5 linked regions of the Ovis aries genome follow. The protein of the gene in region 1 interacts with the protein of each later gene in a pairwise test. Links are inferred from orthologs where the notes say so. Each region holds a gene or a part of one and is shown on either strand. Other genes may lie near its edges.

What was found.
Region 2: the proteins of PEG10 (region 1) and EXOSC5 interact in binary tests that used the Homo sapiens proteins (3 or more experiments, as listed by UniProt). The link is inferred for Ovis aries from reciprocal best matches to the Homo sapiens genes PEG10 and EXOSC5.
Region 3: the proteins of PEG10 (region 1) and LDOC1 interact in binary tests that used the Homo sapiens proteins (3 or more experiments, as listed by UniProt). The two-hybrid records come from large-scale screens. The link is inferred for Ovis aries from reciprocal best matches to the Homo sapiens genes PEG10 and LDOC1.
Region 4: the proteins of PEG10 (region 1) and LNX2 interact in binary tests that used the Homo sapiens proteins (3 or more experiments, as listed by UniProt). The link is inferred for Ovis aries from reciprocal best matches to the Homo sapiens genes PEG10 and LNX2.
Region 5: the proteins of PEG10 (region 1) and SIAH1 interact in binary tests that used the Homo sapiens proteins (3 or more experiments, as listed by UniProt). The link is inferred for Ovis aries from reciprocal best matches to the Homo sapiens genes PEG10 and SIAH1.

What each region holds. Positions count from the first base shown.
Region 1 is NC_056057.1:12,839,515-12,842,548, forward strand, and holds the end of PEG10 (retrotransposon-derived protein PEG10), read left to right. Parts: intron 1-376; coding exon 377-1,589; 3' UTR 1,590-2,526; downstream 2,527-3,034.
Region 2 is NC_056067.1:50,093,140-50,097,361, reverse strand, and holds the start of EXOSC5 (exosome complex component RRP46), read left to right. Parts: upstream 1-1,422; 5' UTR 1,423-1,423; coding exon 1,424-1,757; intron 1,758-4,222. Other genes in the region: BCKDHA (2-oxoisovalerate dehydrogenase subunit alpha, mitochondrial), read right to left, coding at 1,004-1,111. UniProt on the Homo sapiens protein: Non-catalytic component of the RNA exosome complex which has 3'->5' exoribonuclease activity and participates in a multitude of cellular RNA processing and degradation events.
Region 3 is NC_056080.1:94,166,913-94,170,272, forward strand, and holds LDOC1 (protein LDOC1), read right to left. Parts: upstream 1,894-3,360; 5' UTR 1,812-1,893; coding exon 1,371-1,811; 3' UTR 514-1,370; downstream 1-513. UniProt on the Homo sapiens protein: May have an important role in the development and/or progression of some cancers.
Region 4 is NC_056063.1:32,661,747-32,665,263, forward strand, and holds part of LNX2 (ligand of Numb protein X 2), read left to right. Parts: coding exon 1-354; intron 355-2,466; coding exon 2,467-2,607; intron 2,608-3,517.
Region 5 is NC_056067.1:16,329,732-16,333,703, forward strand, and holds the start of SIAH1 (E3 ubiquitin-protein ligase SIAH1), read right to left. Parts: upstream 2,818-3,972; 5' UTR 2,322-2,817; coding exon 2,231-2,321; exon of another isoform or gene 1,485-2,230; intron 779-1,484; exon of another isoform or gene 719-778; intron 1-718. UniProt on the Homo sapiens protein: E3 ubiquitin-protein ligase that mediates ubiquitination and subsequent proteasomal degradation of target proteins.

The sequences.
Region 1 (3,034 bases):
TATCAATCTTTGCCTTGAAGGTTTCTTGCTCTGCTTATAAAGGTTCTTATTTGGAGTATCTCTACATTATTTATTAGTCAGTAAAGGTAACCATGCTGCTTATAAGAGTTGCATATTGTTAAATTATGATGAACAGGTGATTCTTGAGGAGGAAAGGATCATTTGGACATCAAAGAGGATTCTTTTCATTGTCCACAGTCCTAATTGATTAACATCTTTTTTGTGGGGCTTTGGTCTGTTTATTAACTATTGATGTAAACAAGGGGAATAAAGAGATACTTTAAATACTCATGTATTTAAAGTACTTTAGCAGATACTTCCTATTGTGGTGCTTTGAATGTATGTGTTGAATTTATGCTTTTATCTTCACTTACAGAAACAGAAAGCTTCTGAAAACCAGAAGGCGAAAAGGTGGACGCGGAGGCCAGGACACAGGCCTCCATTCCCACAGGAGTGAAGCTACCACGCCTGGGAGGTCTCCTCCCACCCCAACCATCACCCTGGGGCCCGACTGCCCACCACCTCCGCCTCCTCCTCCCCCCAACGATCCTTCCTCCCCCTCCCATTCCCCCTGCAGCAGCCAGAGGGGCCAGTACAACCCCAACCTGGGGGAACGCCGGCGGGAGGATCTCTCGGAAGAGATCAACAACCTCAGAGAGAGGGTCATGAAGCAGTCCGAGGAGAACAACAACCTGCACAATCAGGTGCAGAAACTCACCGAGGAGAACACCACCCTCCGCGAGCAAGTGGAGCCCGCCGCCGAGGAGGAAGAGGACGACATTGAGCTGTGCGGCGCGGCCGCCGCTGCCGCCCCAGCCACCCCTATAGAAGAGGAGTGCCCGGAAGACCTTCCTGAGAAGTTTGACGGCAACCCAGACATGCTGGTTCCCTTCATGTCCCAGTGCCAGCTCTTTATGGAGAAGAGCACCCGCGATTTCTCTGTCGATCGCGTGCGTGTCTGCTTCGTGACCAGCATGATGACGGGCCGCGCCGCCCGCTGGGCCTCGGCCAAACTGGAGCGTTCTCACTACCTGATGCACAACTACCCAGCCTTCATGACCGAAATGAAGCACGTCTTCGAAGACCCCCAGCGGCGCGAGGCCGCCAAACGCAAGATCAGACGTCTGCGCCAGGGAATGGGGTCGGTGGTCGACTACTCTAATGCTTTCCAGATGATCGCGCAGGACCTGGATTGGAACGAGCCCGCCCTGATCGACCAGTACCACGAGGGCCTCAGCGACCACATCCAGGCGGAGCTGGCGCACCTCGAAGTGGCCAAGACGCTGTCGGCGCTGATCAGCCAGTGCATCCACATTGAGAGAAGGCTGGCCCGGGCGGCCGCTGCCCGCAAGCCGCGATCCCCGCCGCGTGCGCTGGTGGCCTCGCAAGTCAACAATCACCACCACCACCAGGCAGACCCGACCGAGCCCGTGGGGGGCGCCCGCATGCGCCTGACGCAGGAAGAGAAAGAGCGACGTCGCAAGCTGAACCTGTGCCTCTACTGTGGGAATGGAGGCCACTACGCTGACAACTGTCCTGCCAAGGCCTCGAAGGCTTCGCCGGCGGGAAACTCCCCGGCCCCGCTGTAGAGGGACCTTCAGCGACCGGGCCGGAATTAATAAGGTCCCCCCAAGATGATGCTGCGTCATCTCCACACTTGCAAGTGATGCTCCAGATTCATCTCCCGGGCCGACACAGCCTGTTCGTCCGAGCCATGATCGATTCTGGCGCTTCTGGCAATTTCATTGATCACGAGTACGTGGCCCAGAACGGCATTCCTCTGAGAATCAAGGACTGGCCCATACTTGTAGAAGCAATTGATGGACGTCCCATAGCATCGGGCCCAGTGGTCCACGAAACTCATGACCTGATCGTCGACTTGGGAGATCACCGCGAGGTGCTGTCGTTCGATGTGACTCAGTCCCCGTTCTTCCCCATCGTCCTGGGGGTGCGCTGGCTGAGCACACACGATCCCAACATCACGTGGAGCACCCGATCGATCGTCTTCGATTCCGAATACTGCAGATACCACTGCCGGATGTACTCTCCAATACCACCACTTCTCCCGCCACCAGCGCAACCCGTGTTCTACTACCCAGTAGAGGGGTACAGAGTTTACCAGCCTGTGAGATACTACTACGTGCAGAATGTGTACACCCCAGTGGATGAGAACGTCTACCCAGACAACCGTCTGGTGGACCCTAACATAGAGATGATCCCCGGAGCACACAGCATTCCCAGCGGGCACGTGTACTCACTGTCGGAGTCTGAAATGGCAGCCTTGCGAGATTTCATTGCCAGACACGTGAAGGATGGGCTGATCACTCCCACCATCGCGCCGAACGGAGCCCAAGTTCTCCAAGTGAAGAGAGGGTGGAAGCTGCAAGTTTCTTACGACTGCCGGGGTCCCAACGGCGTCACCATCCAGAATCAGTATCCTCGACTCACGATTCCAAATTTAGATGACCAAGCTCACCTGGCAACGTACACTGAATTCGTACCTCAAATTCCAGGATATCCGACCTATCCCGCCTATGCCGCGTACCCGACCTACCCGGTAGGATTCGCCTGGTACCCCGTGGGGCGAGATGGACACGGGCGATCCCTCTATGTCCCCGTGGTGATCACCTGGAATCCCCATTGGTACCGCCAGCCGCCAGGGCCCCAGTACCCGCCGCCTCAGCCGCCGCCGCCGCCACCCCCGCCGCCACCGCCGCCTCCTTCTTACAGCACCCTGTGAATAGGCATCCTGCCCTTCAGGATCTCTACCCTCAAAATGAACTCCTGTTCAGCTTCTCATCAGTGACTGTGTGCTACATTGGGCCACTGCACCTTCAGACCAACCTGAGCACAGGCTTTCCTCTGAAATGGTTACAGAAGGTCAGGGCCACCCTGGACTGACACCCATCTCAAAGCACCCACTGACCTCCACTGTTTGGTGGGAGCAACAAAATATTTACCAACAAATTATCTCTGCTTTTCCACCTTAACTGCCAACCTAATTAAAATTCGTAACAAGTTTACTTCCCAGCAA
Region 2 (4,222 bases), on another chromosome or scaffold:
TCTGTTATATGCAAAATCTCAGTTCACAGCTTTTCTCAAGTCCCCTGCCTCTGTCTCTCTAAATAGTGGTTCCCATCTACATTTCTGCTGTGCGAGCATGCCATTAGCAGCATCAATCTAAAAGGAGTCTGCTCCTTTTGACAAGAAACAAGGCATTTCTCCACTGTTTCTCAGAAATATGGAGTAAGTGCTCTGCCAGGACCTCTCCCCTCATTAGTTCAACAAATATTCACTGATCACCTCCGCCTTAGAGTGACCAAAACCAACAAGGTCCTTGGCTACCGTTCTATACCGGAGGCACAGGCGCCACGACTTTTTATAAGTATTTTATCTTTATTTATTTGGCTGCACTGGGTCTTGCAGTTATGGCATGCAGGATTTTTAGCTGCAGCATACGAACTCTTTAACTGCCGGCACGTGGGACCTAGTTCCCTGATCAGGGATGAAACCCAGGCCCCCTGCATTGGAAGCGCGGAGTCTCAGTCACTGGACCACCAGGGAAGTCCCAGAAAGATTTTTTTTTTAACGCAGTTTATTTAAAAATCAGAATTGGAGCAAAGAAACACGGGGCACCATAAAAGTCCCTGAAAGGGCAACTGATGTCTCTCTCCTCCTCCTTGAAAGTAGACCGTATTGAGAAGAAAGTCTTTCCCTTACAAACACAATTTTCTCCAGCTCCTGAGGGGAGAGGTCACACCCTTCTCCCGTATTCTCCAAGCGGCCTCCCCTGGGGATGGGCGGCAATTAAGTAACTACCTCGCTCTCTCCAAGTTTTCTCCCTCCCTTAGGGTCACAAAGGAGCTGCCTGGCTTTTCTTCTCCTAAGGAAGTGGAAGTTATTCCCTTGCATGTCCTGTCCAAGTGGTTCTCCCAGCCCTCGTCCTTTCTCTCACAGCCCTTCCTTCACTTCCTACAGGGACCTAAGGGAACCCCCTCTCTCTGAAGACTGCATAAACATTCCTATACCTCTTTCGAGAAAACTTTCAGGTGCTCCAGGTACTCACAGATCTAGCCAGCCCACGAGCCCCAAGCAGCCGCAGGAGCGGGAGGCCCGCCCGTCCCAAGCCTCGACTTGGTCTCCAAACCCTCGCCGCCGCAGCCGCCACCGCCATCTTGGCTGACCATCCCTCGGAGATCCGCCCCTCTCCTCGGCGAGACCGGGGCTGCCCCTTCATAAGCCTGACTCAAATGCCAGCAACACCCTGCCAAGAAACCATACGCTACTAGTTCTGCAGCCTCTGGGACACACATGTAGGTGCATAAAGCCACCTAACTTCCCAAAATTACTCTGACCGCCTCACGTTAGTTATTCCTGTAACCGGCAAAGAAGAGGACAACCCGTCCAGAGCCTCAGGGTTTCAGGGCCGGGGGCCTCGGGTAGGACGAGCTCATGCCAAGGCCCGCCCACTCTTCTCTTCTGTCCAATGGCTTTCCTGGACTTTCGAGGCGGGAGTGGGAGGGTCCAGATTGTTAGTAAACGCCGAGCCACGTGCGGGCGCCACTCCTGGAGCCCCCGGGTCGGCGCGTGCGTACAGCGTACGCACCTCGTACGCAAGCGCGCGCTTCTGGGAGGAAGCAACAAGCCCCGGCTGCACGTGGGCTCCGGGGCTATGGAGGGGGCAATGCAGACTGAATCGAAGATTCGGGCTGATTCTCGGACAGAGCCCGGCCCTAGGGGCCCCGGCTGTAGCCTCCGGCACTTTGCCTGCGAACAGAACTTGTTGTCCCGGCCTGATGGCTCTGCCTCTTTCCTGCAAGGTAGGAACTACTAGGTTGTATTATTTGGTGGGGCGGGGGGCGGTTACAATGTATCGCGCTAGCTGGTAAAAATCTCTCCTGAACTAGTGCAGTTCTTGCCTGGGTGGACACTACTGTATACGCAGGTAGACATATATCTCTCCCTCCAGACTAGCAAGGAGAAGATTGTTAAAGTACGCAGAATGGGAGAGGGCAGACCGCTTCTAAAGAATGAATACTCCAGAATAGGGGAAATATTCTTACCCCGGGGTCTCCCTTGACTGGATTCCTCTCCGGTTTCCCATACACGCACCCTGGGTCCATACATCCCAGGCTGAGGCAAACCTGTTTGTTTGCATAAATACCCAGTGGACTGTCAGATCACCACTTCTGGTGTACTCCCTAGCCCGGTGGCAGATCTTTTATCCAAATAGTTACTTCTCAGATGGATGGTGATGTCCCCAGCCCCACCTCTTGGGTAAATGTCCCTTTGGCTGGGATACACAACTCTGCTTATATCCCTAAGATTGGAGCAGTTCTTACCTATTAGGGAAATATCCCCTTTTCCTAGCTAAACAACTCTGAAACTAGACTCAGTTCCCTGACGCCTCTGAGGGAAATGTTCCTCTGGAGATAGGCCTAAGGGTCACCCCCATAAATGCTTCAGACCCTGCTCTAGGGCATTACCTGAAACCCAAATACAAAACCTGCTTTCATTCATTCTTTCATTGAACATGTACCTTTGCTTAGTATTGTTCTGGACACTGAGAATAAGTAAATAAATTTTTTAAAAATCCCTGCGGTAACGGATTTGACATTCTTACATTCTAGTCAGAGAGACAGGCAAAAGATAAGTAAAATATGTAGTAGAAAACAAGAAAAATACAGTAAGGGTGTAGATTGGGGTGTGCCAGAGAGGGTTGCAGTCTTAATTAGGATGGTCAGGAAAGGCATCAACTGAGATGGTACCTTTTGAATAAACACTTAAAGATGGGACTTTCCTGGTGATCCAGTGGCTAAGACTGAGCTCCCAATGCAGAGGGCCTGGGTTCAGTCCTTGGTAAGGGAACTAGATCCCACATGGTGCAACTAAGAGTTCGCATGCCCCAACTAAAGATCCTGCGTGTTGCAGTGAAGACCCAGTACAGCCAAATAAAAAAATTTTAAAGCAGTTTCTTTCCCTAAAATTGGCTTTTTGCAGGGGGAGCAAACCCTAAACAGATCAAGAGGAAAGCTTATGAAGCATTAGGAACCACAGGGCCCTGAGGCCAAAACTTGCCTGGTGTGTTTGAGGGACAGTCAGGGGGACGGGGTGCCTGCAGCGGTGACAGGAGGTGGGGTGGCGATAAGGAGACCTGCCCCTCATATAAAGTCTAGTGACTGAGAATGGAGACTTGTGACATGCTCTGAATATATATTTTTTTTATAGATTTTAGACTTTCTGGCTGCAGTGTTGATGGCAAAGGGCACGGGGGAAAGGAGAGGAGGGTGGTGCAGACCAGAGTGGAAGCAGTACAGGTGGTGAGAGTCTGAAGGCAAACTGATAAATTGCAGCTGGTTTGGTTTGGGGGTGTGACAGGGTCAGTTTTTTACCCAGACCAGCTGTGCTGGGAGACAATGAGTTCAGTTGGGAACATTACATTTGCAAGGCCTAATAGACTCTCCCATGGCAGTGTGGATTCGGCAGTCGGACATACAAGGCTGGAATTTGGGAGTCCTTTGGCAGTTCAAGCTACTGATTGGATAGAATCAACAAGAGAATCAATATAGGTGGAGAAGAGAACTTAGAACTTAGCCCTTTGCCTTCTAGCCTGGGTGGAGCTAGGAAAAGACATAGAGAAGGAGCAACTAGTAAGGTAGGAGAAAAACCAAGAGAGGGCAGCGACCTGGAGCCCAGAGAACGTGTCTGAAATGTAAGGACCAACCGTTTTGGTCCGGCTGAGAGACTGAATCGTGAGGATGGACTAGACCTGTGGGTTGACAACCTGGTTGTCTATTGTAGGTGGTGCAGCCAAGAGTCACTCTGGGACTTCCCTGGTTAAGATTCTGAGCTCGTAGTGCAGGGGACACAGGTTCGATCCCTGGTCCAGCAAGCTTCACATGCCTTGCATCACAGCTACTTGAGCCCACACACCCTAGAGCCTGTGCTCCACCACAAGAGAAGCCAGTGCAATAAGAAACCTACATATCACAACGAAGACCCAACGCACAGCCAAAAATAATAAGTAAAATGTAAAAAAGAAAAAGCTGTTCCGGTGGAGGGGTGGAGTCGAGGAAAAGAAAGAGACAGTGAGCAGAGACCGCTCTTCAGGAACTTTGCTGTAAAAGGATAAGATAGATGGGCGAGGAGTTAGATGGATGTGGGGTCCACAGGGGAGGGAATTGCTAGAGCCATGGCCTCAGGAAGATGAGAAGAGAGGCACTCTTGTGCCCAGGTGAAGCACAGACAGTGCCTTTGGAGTAACAGGAAGGAAGACCCCGGTGTG
Region 3 (3,360 bases), on another chromosome or scaffold:
AAGCACCTAAAAGGGGTTTTAAAACAATGTGCTACACTATGTATTGAAGCCTAAAATCAATAGCACCCCACAGGCACTAAGAGTTAACAGGCAGAACATCTCTGACCATGTTGAGGAAGAACCCCAAAGTTCATGAAAATAGAAATATTGTGTGTCCTGACTTGTACTTGTTGTTCCAGTCTAATTATTAATAGTGTCCCCTTGAAGCTCTCTCAAAATTGTCCCAGTTTGGGATGGTGTGCCACCTGCCTGCTCAGCCACCCCTTACCCATGCCACCTCAGAAGCACCAGAGAACACTCCCTTCACCAGGGCTATAAGAAAGGCATCAGTGGGGGTAGTACCAGTTTCCCCATAAAGCCCTGTAGTAACTGTCCTCTGGAGTTTAGTCGTGACAGTGGGGAGTACAGAGATTGAAAGTTGAATGAGATTCCCTGATGCCAGTGGGAATAATGAGTCAGGGTGAAAGTGGCAAAGGCCAATGATAGCCCTTAACCATGAAAAGACACTTGCTGTTGTTGTTTTTTTTTTTTTTTTTTGGTAGTGCTTGAAATTTATTGAAAAGAATGCAAATGCTTTTTCCAGGTAGCATTGAGGAGCTGGGCTGAGTACTTGCTTTTGTTTGTATTGTTCGGTTTTTAGTATTTTTGTCCAAATGCACACCTCGATGGGACTGCTGCAATTTTGAAATGAAGATGACGGGTGTGCAAAACTGATGCATAGGAGAAATGTCAACAATTGGGTTGCCAGGCACAATGGGCCCCTGCAGCAATCTGGTGGGCCAGGAGGAAGACCTGGAGTTAGTAGGGAACAATTAATCAAGTTGAAAGATTAGCCCCTGGGGAGGGGGGTGGAGTTGTTGGTGAGCAGTCCAAATCAGTGTCCCAGGAGGTGTAGCCCACAAAGGCATCTTCTAGATTGTTCCTGATCTCCAAAGGCCGGGTCTATCGCTGGAATCTGGTGGAGGGTGCTTGGGTGGCAGCGCAGGTCGCTGGGCAGAGGTGCAGGCCTGACAGTCAGCAAGGCAGAGTATAGGCTGACCGGTTTGTAAGAGGGGCTTGCCCTAGAGCTGGGGCTCAGAACACAGTTCTAACGAGCAGTGAGGGTCCTGGGGCTGGCCAGAGTGGGCAGCAGAGTGCACTTCAGAGACGCCCCAGCCTCAGCAGCAGGTGACTAGAGAGCACTATGCCTGGAACAAAGACAAGCACTACGGCAGAGAGTGGAGGGTGAGGAAGACAACCAGAGGGGAGGGAAAGGCCAGGGGATCACAGCGTTAGGGGAGCGCGGTGGCTCCGGGCGGGGCGAGGCGGGGAGGCAGCGGGGGTGGCGGAGGGCAGTGCCCTTCCCCCTCTAGGCCCGAGGGTCTCCGGGCCTAATACTCATCTTCTTCATCTTCGTCTTCGTCTTCTTCGTCGTCATCCCAGCCAAAACACTGTTTCATCTCATCGAGGAAGGCCCGGTAATCGCCCAGGATGGGGCTATCCATCTCAATGTAGGGCACCACCCACTCCTCGGCTTCCCCGGTGAGCAGGCTGATCAGGAATGCCACCTTCATGGCGTCGTTGCAGAATCGGTTCTCGTTGACGAGCATGTAAGACGCCGTCTGCACGATAAACTCGGGGAGCCGGGAGCTCTCGCCGTCAAACGTTTCGGGGAAGGGCACAGGGCAGCTCGGCGGACGTACCTGGCGCAGCAGGGTGGCCCTCTCGCACACCAGCAGCCGAAGCTGTTCCATGAGCTGGCTGTTCTCGATGCTAAGGGCGCGGTGCCGCATCAGAAGCGCGTGCAGCAGCAGGACCAGCTCATCCACCATGGCGAACAGCTTGGAAAGGCAGGGCAGGGCGCAGCTCGATTCGGCTAGGCTAAGGTGCTCTCGGAGGCCTCGCAGGAAGTGCGTGTCAGAGGAGACGCGCGGTGGCTAGGAGCGAGGGGCGGTGCGCGCAGGGGTCCCGGCGGCGGCGCAAGCTCCGCCCACACAGCCGAGCTGACGGCCCCGCTCAGGCACCGCCCGGCTGGAGGGGGCGGGGCCGGGGAAGGCAAGGGGCGGGGCCGGGGAAGGCAAGGGGCGGGGCCGGGGAAGGCAAGGGGCGGGGCCGGGGTGGCCCGGACTAGGGCTCGGCGTCCGCGCTCGCAGGTCCGGGGGCCGCTGGATAAAGGCGAAGACCCAACCTTGGATGTGGGTCGGGCCGTAGCCTGGACCGTGCAAGCGCAAAAGACCCATCTCTCAGAGAGGTTCAACCTGCTCAGGTTTAAAGGACTCACCACCCTTCAGCCAAGCCGACTCATACATCTCGGTGTTCCTTGGAGGGCCAGTAGCCCCTGGGTTCCCTCTGAGTGGTTTTAACACATTTCTTGGCTTATGAAATCTCCCTCACCCAAAGAACCGTTAGCAGTGCTGGCTGCACGCCAGCGTCACACCCTGTAAGAGTTATGAAAGACCCTCAGGGGTCCTGTCTTTCATGACAAAGCGATATTTAAAAGGGATTTTTCTTTGGTTGGAAAATAGTATTGTGTACTTCTATCCCTTTGTTTAAAATTATTTTTGTAAATAGCAAAGTGTAAAAAGTTCTGCAAAATTTAGCATCCAATCACCATTTGCAGGAGTCCTGCCTATCTTTGACTCTATTTCTGTCCTAATGTTAGTGTCCCTTGACTACTGGGTATTTATCCCCTGCTTAACAATAAACACTTGTGTTTTAAAAATGGCTTTGCTTTTCTACTTTGAATGCGATTATTCAAATAGTTGACAAATGAGTTGGGGAGACAGCCTCTGGGCCACCACATTCTGTTGGAACACCTTTTAAAATATATTCCCAGTCGAATCACTTCTTGTTACTTCTACCAATACCACCCTGGTCCCAGCCCTCCTTTCTCACACAGGCTGTTGAAACTAACCACTTAACTTCCATTCTTCTCTTCCTATAGTGTATGTATTCCCCAGAGTAAGGACAGGACTCCTTTAGAACAAAAGTTAGATCACTTCCCCTCCCTGCTGTAAACCCTCCAATAGTTTTCCCTTATCAGTCAAAAGAAAAACCAAAGTCTTGGTAATGGCCTACCAGGCCCTACCTCATCTGCGCCTCCTCTCAGTTCCTGCTGTGCTCTAACCACATTGTTCTCTCTGCTGATTCTTGCACACAAGTAGCTCTGGCCCCAGGACCTTTGTACTTTCTATTTTTCCTGCCTTGGAAGGCTCTCTCCTCATTTGACTGCCTGACTCTTTCTCCCTCGGGTTTCAAAGAGGACTTTCCTAACCACTTCACCTATCAGAGCACCCCATTCTCTGCCAGTAATCTCTAACCCCTTGCCTCACTTCATTTCTCTGCACAGCATTTATCACACCAGTAGCCATTATATCATAC
Region 4 (3,517 bases), on another chromosome or scaffold:
ATCAGCAGTGTGTCACACAACTATGCCCGGGCCGTGCTGTCGCAGCCCTGCAGCACTCTGCAGCTCACCGTGCTTCGCGAGAGGCGCTTCGGAAGCCGCGCGCACGGCCACCCCGAGGGCAGCGCGCCCCGGGAGGAAGTCTTCCCAGTGGTGCTGCACAAGCGGGACTCTGCTGAGCAGCTAGGCATCAAACTCGTGCGCAGAACCGACGAGCCGGGGGTCTTCATCCTTGACCTGTTGGAAGGGGGGCTGGCGGCCCAGGATGGTCGGCTGAGCAGCAACGACCGGGTGCTGGCTATCAATGGCCACGACCTGAAGCACGGGACGCCTGAGCTGGCCGCCCAGATCATCCAGGTGAGCCCTGCCCGCGCCCACTGCGCTTGCCCAGTCTCCCCTTGGAGCTCAATGTGCGTTCCCAACAGCAGGTAACAGTGATTGGTCCGGGGTGGTGCAACGTCACCTCACCATCCAGCCAGGCCACCTAAATTCTTCCATACTGTCTAATCCATGCTAGTCCTGCCTCTTCCCAGCTGATCTACACCCCCATGACCTTCTAGGTGGGCTGTTTCTAAAGGCCCTTTGGTGCAGGTGGCCGGTGGTGGTGTCCACACTTCACATGTGGACTTGTGGGAGCAGCAAGACCCCAGGGGCTGTAGTCACCGAAGGTGCGACTCACCTGGTCTCTCCACTCCCCTGCACTTCTCAGTCCATAAAAATAGGGGAAGGTAACTTACTATTCAGAGTATCTCTATAGTGCCTTTTTAAAAAAATATAATATTCTCTGGAAGTAGGTTGTCATTATTAGAGAAAAGAAATGTATTTTCAGTAACAGCATCAAAACAGATGAGTTAAAAACCAGAGACGATCTTTAGGTTCTAGGATGCCATGGCATCTGAGGGGGAGTGGGGAAGGGAGGGGGCTTCCCACAGCCTTACAGAAAGGTAAAGCAAAATGGGTTTTCTTAAGGAGGCACAACACATATTGCAGTGGAAACCAAGCATCTGTTAATTGAATATCTGAAATTAAGATAGGTTGATAGTCATGAAATATGTATATGTACATAGAATCAAATAACCGTGAGGTTTTAAGACTAAGAAAACCCAGGTTTTGCTCCCCCTTTGACCTACTCCCCCCCGCCTTTTTTTTTTTTTTTTTTTTCACTTTTTGGTAAATGTAGCCTTCAGGAAACACTCAAAGCCATACTGCACTGAGAGGAATTTCAGGCATTGGTCTTATTTCATAGACTTCAAGCTTAAAGAAATCGAATGCCTTGACATTCCCTCACATCAGAGGCAGCACTCAGGGCACCAGGGGCTATACCTGTGGGTTGCATCAGCTGCTGCACTGCTGAGAACAGTTTATCTTGTGTGTGGGGGGGAAGTTAACCCAGTTTGGAAATTTGTTAAAGGAAATGAGTGAGTTGCATAGGCTTTTTGAAGTGAGAAGTCAGTAAGATAGCCAAGAAGAGAGCAATATATATTGACTGTGTCTCAGGCAGTGTTCTAAATTTCTAACCAAAATGTGGAAAATATAGTTACACAGGTAGAAAACACACTTAAAATTTTTCATCAGTAATACATTTATTTGGATTTTTATAATTTAAATAGTTACATCATATTTTGTGTTGTGATTTTTTTCCCCCAAGGCATAGAAAACTCAAGTTGCTCAATTTAAGTTTCTTTTTGAGAAAAATGAATGGGTTTGACCCCTGGGTTGGCAAGATCCCCTGGAGAATTCCATGGGCAGAGGAGCCTGGCAGGCTACAGTTCGTGTGGTCACAAAGAGTCAGACACAACTGAGCAACTTTCACTTTCATTAATCTTATTGAGGATTGTAAAAATAGATTCTGTGTCTAAAATGGAAATAAAATACCAAAGATAAAATATTGAAAATATGTTAAAATTGAATTTGCACTAAACACTGCAAGCGATGTCAACATTGTTTGGAGAACATCCTTACAAACTCCTGAGTGTATATGTCCACAGACAGACACACATTTATGCAACACATGCACTTACCTTGTAAGTTCTGAATTTGCAGCTTTGTGTCTGCAGTATGTTGTGAACATCCTAACTATGAAAGGAAGTGTAGAACTGTGTCCTGATCTTCACCAGCTGGTTGACTCCGTCATCTCCTATTGACAGACTTGCATGTTTTGTTTTCATTTTAAAAGAAAGTTACCCTTCAAGAAGTCCTGGGGAGGAAGAACACCTTCTTGGGGAGGTGGACTGCTCTGCCTGGGTTGTTGGGGAGGGAGGTCTGGGGAGGGTCTGTCCAAGAGCTGTGTGTGTATTTCAGCGGCAGACACCTTGAACCACAAGCTCACAAGACCAGCTCCCTTCCTCCTACCACCAGGCACTTGCAGCCACCCCAGGCAAGGCGCTGGCGCAGTGATGGGAAGTACTTGTGCTCTGCGAAATGAGAAACATCGGTAATGACTGGTGGCTGTGTCTGTATTTCCTCCAGGCCAGCGGAGAGAGGGTGAGTTTAACAATTGCCAGACCAGGGAAACCCCAGCCTGGAAGCACTGTCCGAGAAGCAGGAACTCAGAGCAGCAGCCAGCACCACGCACAGACGTTGCCTTACAGTAGACCCAGCTCGCATAAGGTGAGGCGCCTGCTCATGGTTCTGAATTCATCCACCCTCCAAGGATAAGTCATTATAAGCTGGTGACACTGGAATGAGGGCTGTGCGCTCCTGGAGAAGGTGCACAGAAGTGTTTGTGCAGTGTGTGTGTCCTGCCACCATGGAGAGTGCCTGTCTCAGTCCCTCAGTCAGTAGTTTCTTGGTGGGGAAGGCCTCCTGCCAGGTGATTAATGAGAAGTAATTGTCCAGAAAAATCTTTGGTTTGTTTAATTCTGTTTGAAAGTGGGACTTAACTTGCTCATTTAAATGAAAAGTTTACATAATTGAAAAGGCATAATGAAGACAGTGATTGACAGCCTGTACTTAGCAACTGTAGGTAGCTTGCCTAAAACAGAATTAGACATGTGAATATTAAACATATAACTCATAAATTTTGACAGCTACATGTATAGCATATATAATTTTATCTGCTAGAACAGGAAGACTATTCTAGAATAGGAAGACTACCCTAAATCTTTTTAAAATTCCTGTATGTTTTATCCCTGCTTCTTCAGTATTTCACTGGTTTTATAACATATTCCAAAGTCTTTTACTTGTGCTGAGAATTTTGATACTGTCTCACTTAAGTTGCAGAAATTTAAAGAGGGTTTGTAGTTCCTTCTTGCTAAATGAGCTTCCACAGTCAATCTCTTTAAGTAAAATTAAATTTCTTTACTAAACAAAAACATCTGTTGGTCTGCTTAAAACCACAGGAAGTTCCCTGTGTGTTCAAATGACTTAGTGTAAGGAGAGTATTTGAGAGAATACTTACCTTTGGAATGTCACAGGGACCCTGAGAAAAGCACCCCTTAACAGCAGAAGTATTTTTGGCCTGTCAGGTGTATCTGATTTCCTAGCTTAAGTACAGACTTGTCACTGGTTTCTGGTTAAT
Region 5 (3,972 bases), on another chromosome or scaffold:
TTAAAAACTCATCCTTGAATGGACTACATGGAATAAACGCTAGAACAGAAACCTGGATCCTAAACCACTAAGGAACACTGTATAAACAGTTTAAGTTCAATGAAATCAGTTCTGACTGGAATTTCCCCTGCCTGTGTTCAACTGCCCTGCTCATTCTATTTCTTCCCCATTCTTAAGTCAGCTGTTGACAGCCTCAGTGAGTTATACATGATCCAAAGGATCACCAGGGTACTGGCTTCTGATTACTCTTTCTAAGGGTGAATATTATCTGCTAAAGAGATCTATCTGGGGAAGGGAAGGTCTCCTGCCATCCCATCATCCATCTCCATGGAATGTTAACCCCAGCTAGATCTTCATCTTATTTCCTACCCATCTGTGGCCCCCTTCAAAAGTGAGGAAGCATATAGGAGAAATAGAGGACCACCCTCTAAAAGGTATGAGTCTGGTATTCAGAACTAAATCATTCTGCTCTACTTCCGCTCTACAATATAAATCTGGTATAATTTGCAAAGAGGAAGGAAAGTCAGGAAAAGATAAAGAATAAACAGTATCAGAAAGACACAACATTAGGGGTGAGGGACAGAGTCAACAGGTAAAGAATTCCTTATATTCTATTATAGAGTTCACCAGAGTTGCTGAAGCATTCATCAGCACAGTACTAAACATTATTTAAGAAATAAATGCCATCTGGAAAAAATGATCAACAACGTTAACTAACCTGTCAAGCTGAATTAAAGATAAAACAAGCGCCTTTTCCCAGGATGTAGTGCACTGCTTTCTTGGGGATGACAAAAAATCAGTCCATTAATGTCCTAAGAGTATATACTCAATAACCACAAGCCATATCTCTACAAAATCAAAATTTAACAACTCCTAAAAGTTAATGTTTCCTTAATTATAATTGTTATTCTGTTAGAATTCAACGTTGAAAAACTAATGCTGGTTATCAATGAGACCACATAAATGCAATTTGGATTCTATTACTCATAGACAGGGCATCCCAGGTGGCTCGGTGGTAAAGAAGCCACCAGCCAAGGCAGAAGACACAGTACCGATCCCTGGGTCGGAAAGGTCCCCTGGAGGAGGAAATCGCAACTCACTCCAGTATTCTCACCTGGGAAATTCCCATCGACCAAGGAGCCTGGTGGGCTACAGTCCACGGAGTCACAAAGAGTCAGACCCCAGGTACTGATCGACTGAGCACAAGCACACACTCGCAGATTACTCAAGGACAGACACCTTAAATGGGGGTTGAGAGTGAACCCTCTCCCCCAGGAAACCCCAAAATAGGTCAATTCCACTGTCACTAAAGGAATATTCTAGAGTTCACGGGGAAACAAAAGTATCACAAGGATTCTATCATAACATGGCTCATCGCATAGATTTAAGACAACAGGAATCAACTCTCATCACTGAAGCCCTGTATAACCAGTGTTCAGCCCAACAAAAACACTATAAAGGAACTTTCATGAAATCCAGTTTACCTCTGAGATTTTTTCTGCATATGATGATCCATGCATTTTATTTTAGGTCACTAGTAAAACAATGGCTTAGCATTGCTGAAGTGTCCCGTATGTATGCTTATTTCATGGTCCATTTTATGCGGCTCATTTAAGAGAGCAACATAGTAACTGGGAAGTAATTCCCTGGGCACAAAATCTAAGCTGATTCCTTTCAAATCACTAAACCAAAACCAGCTGGTCACTAAACTCAGTTTGTATTCAACATAATATAACTACTAAGCAAGAAAAATATTACTGTTTAATTTTGTGACCTAGAAAAAGTTATACATTTATCAATAGTCCAGATTCACATTATAATATACATCATTATTTTCCCAAACATACAAAGCACAACTTAAAATTACTATTCAAAGTGTGAAAACAAGCAAAATATGGCTTCAATTTCTGGTGAATTTAAGTATTACAGGACAGTAGCTGCTAAAACTTCCCAAAGTTCGGCAGGCGGAACTCAGTCCATCTTACACAGAAAAGTAATCCACACACAGCACAGCAGCCGTGCAGTAGGAACCAAGGACTTAAGTGTCTGGACAGCTCTGCAGCAGTCATGACATAACCCGAAGTTTGGTTTAAACTGAGAAAAGCACAGCTGATCAAAAGAAATCACTGCCTGCTCAATTTTGTTGCAGCAATTCCCTGGTCCGTTTCAGAGGCTCAAAACAACTTTCCCGTTCCACAGTTTAAGCAACACAGTCTCTTAATAGCAGTACCTTTTCTCTTCCTTGTCCCAGATGCTGGTAAACAAGTGAGCAAGATGCCTCTCCAGGAGTACAGAAAAGGTAAGGGAGACTTCCCGGTCATAAGTCAGAGAGCTCATAGCCTTTCCCCCAGAAGCAAAGACAACTTGCAACGGAGGGCTCTCCTGGATATCTTCTGTTACTAAACATGTCCCGGGTCTAGTTTTCAAAAGAAGGCACATGCCCTACTCCATACACTCCATTCACTCCTCAGAAGCACTGGCTACTGAAGAAGAGAACTGATGCCCCCTCCTGTTCCAAGAGGAGTCGACCACACCTCCCCAGGAGCTGAAATTTGCCTGCGTCTCCAAAAATGGGAGCCATTGCTGAGCTGTCCTCTGCTGGGCCCTAAACCTTCGTCTGTCTCGGAAGTCTGTCTTCCCCAAATTCATCGGCTAGGCTCCTGCCAGCTCGGTGAAGAACAGGGCAGAAGGGTGCGTAGAGGCCACTGGTCGACTACGTGCGCTCTCGGTGCCAGCTCAAGCTACTACTGCAGGATCCGGCCCGCAGGAGGGAAGCCTGCGCCAACGCAGTGCCAGGGGGCCGCAGGCTCTCTCTGCACAGGGCGGCGGCTGCCGCGGATGGCGAGAGGCGGGGCGGCGTGCGGGGGCGGGGCTTAAGGCTCCGCCCCACTCCGTCTGGGGCAGCTCCCAAGCGGCTCCTGGGCAAGGAGCGTGCAACTCCCACCCAGGCACCCAGCCGAGTAAAACCCGGCGTAAAACCCCCCCGATCCTCACTCCCCGGCGATACTGCGCAAGCCATCAGCTTACTAGAAGGCTGAACTCCATTTCTGTAGGCCCAAACAGTCGGATATGGGCAATTTTGCATGGTTTCAACCCAAAGGTCTACACAGAATATATGGGAAATACGCGACCAGACAAGCATCTCTGCACTATATTCTGCCAGTTAACCCTGCGGACGCTAGATTTTTACAAAGTAAAAGCATTCTCCGTACTTCGTTCAATAACTATTTGACGGGCGTTAACTACCTTATCTCCACAACTGTAACTCGCTTCTCCATTTTTACCACCATCTGCACCTTAAACTCCTTCTCCCTTCGAGATTTTGTAGTGAGAGTACTAAGCACACATAACCATATTAAACTCCTGCTTTAACCCTCAAATTTAGATTTTATTCTCTTCCCACTCTAGGAAAACCATCTTAAACGGCCTCATTAAACAGAGTAGCTTGTTTTGTTTTTAAATAAGCATTACCCTTGCCCCAGTAAAGTCCAGGGCCTCCAATCTGCATTGCGTCAGCTCAGGCATTCAGAGGTTTAACCTGTCATTACATCATGCTTAGTGCAGCCTTTAAAGGCACCAAGACCTGGTGTGAGTGTGAACCCTGTGCTCTAAATTGGCCATTTTTAGCATAAAATTTTAACTCTTGATCACTTCCCCACCCTATTAGTAGTGTGTTCAATCACCTCAATGTCATTTTGGTATTAGGCTACAGAAAACATCATTAGGAACAGAAATATAACTGAAAAGTCTGTTCACTGAAAAATATAAATTACAATAATCTATGTTTTAATTTTCTAATACATATTCATTCTAAATAGGTCTCAGGTTTCTAGACCAGGAGACTCCAAATGTTTTAGAGCAGAAAAACTTCAGACAGATTTAGGACAGAGTCCAAATTTGTAAAAACAAGTAAAAGGGATGACATTTCTCAAGCAAAAAAATGTTTTCCCAGACTTCCAAAGAACCTATACA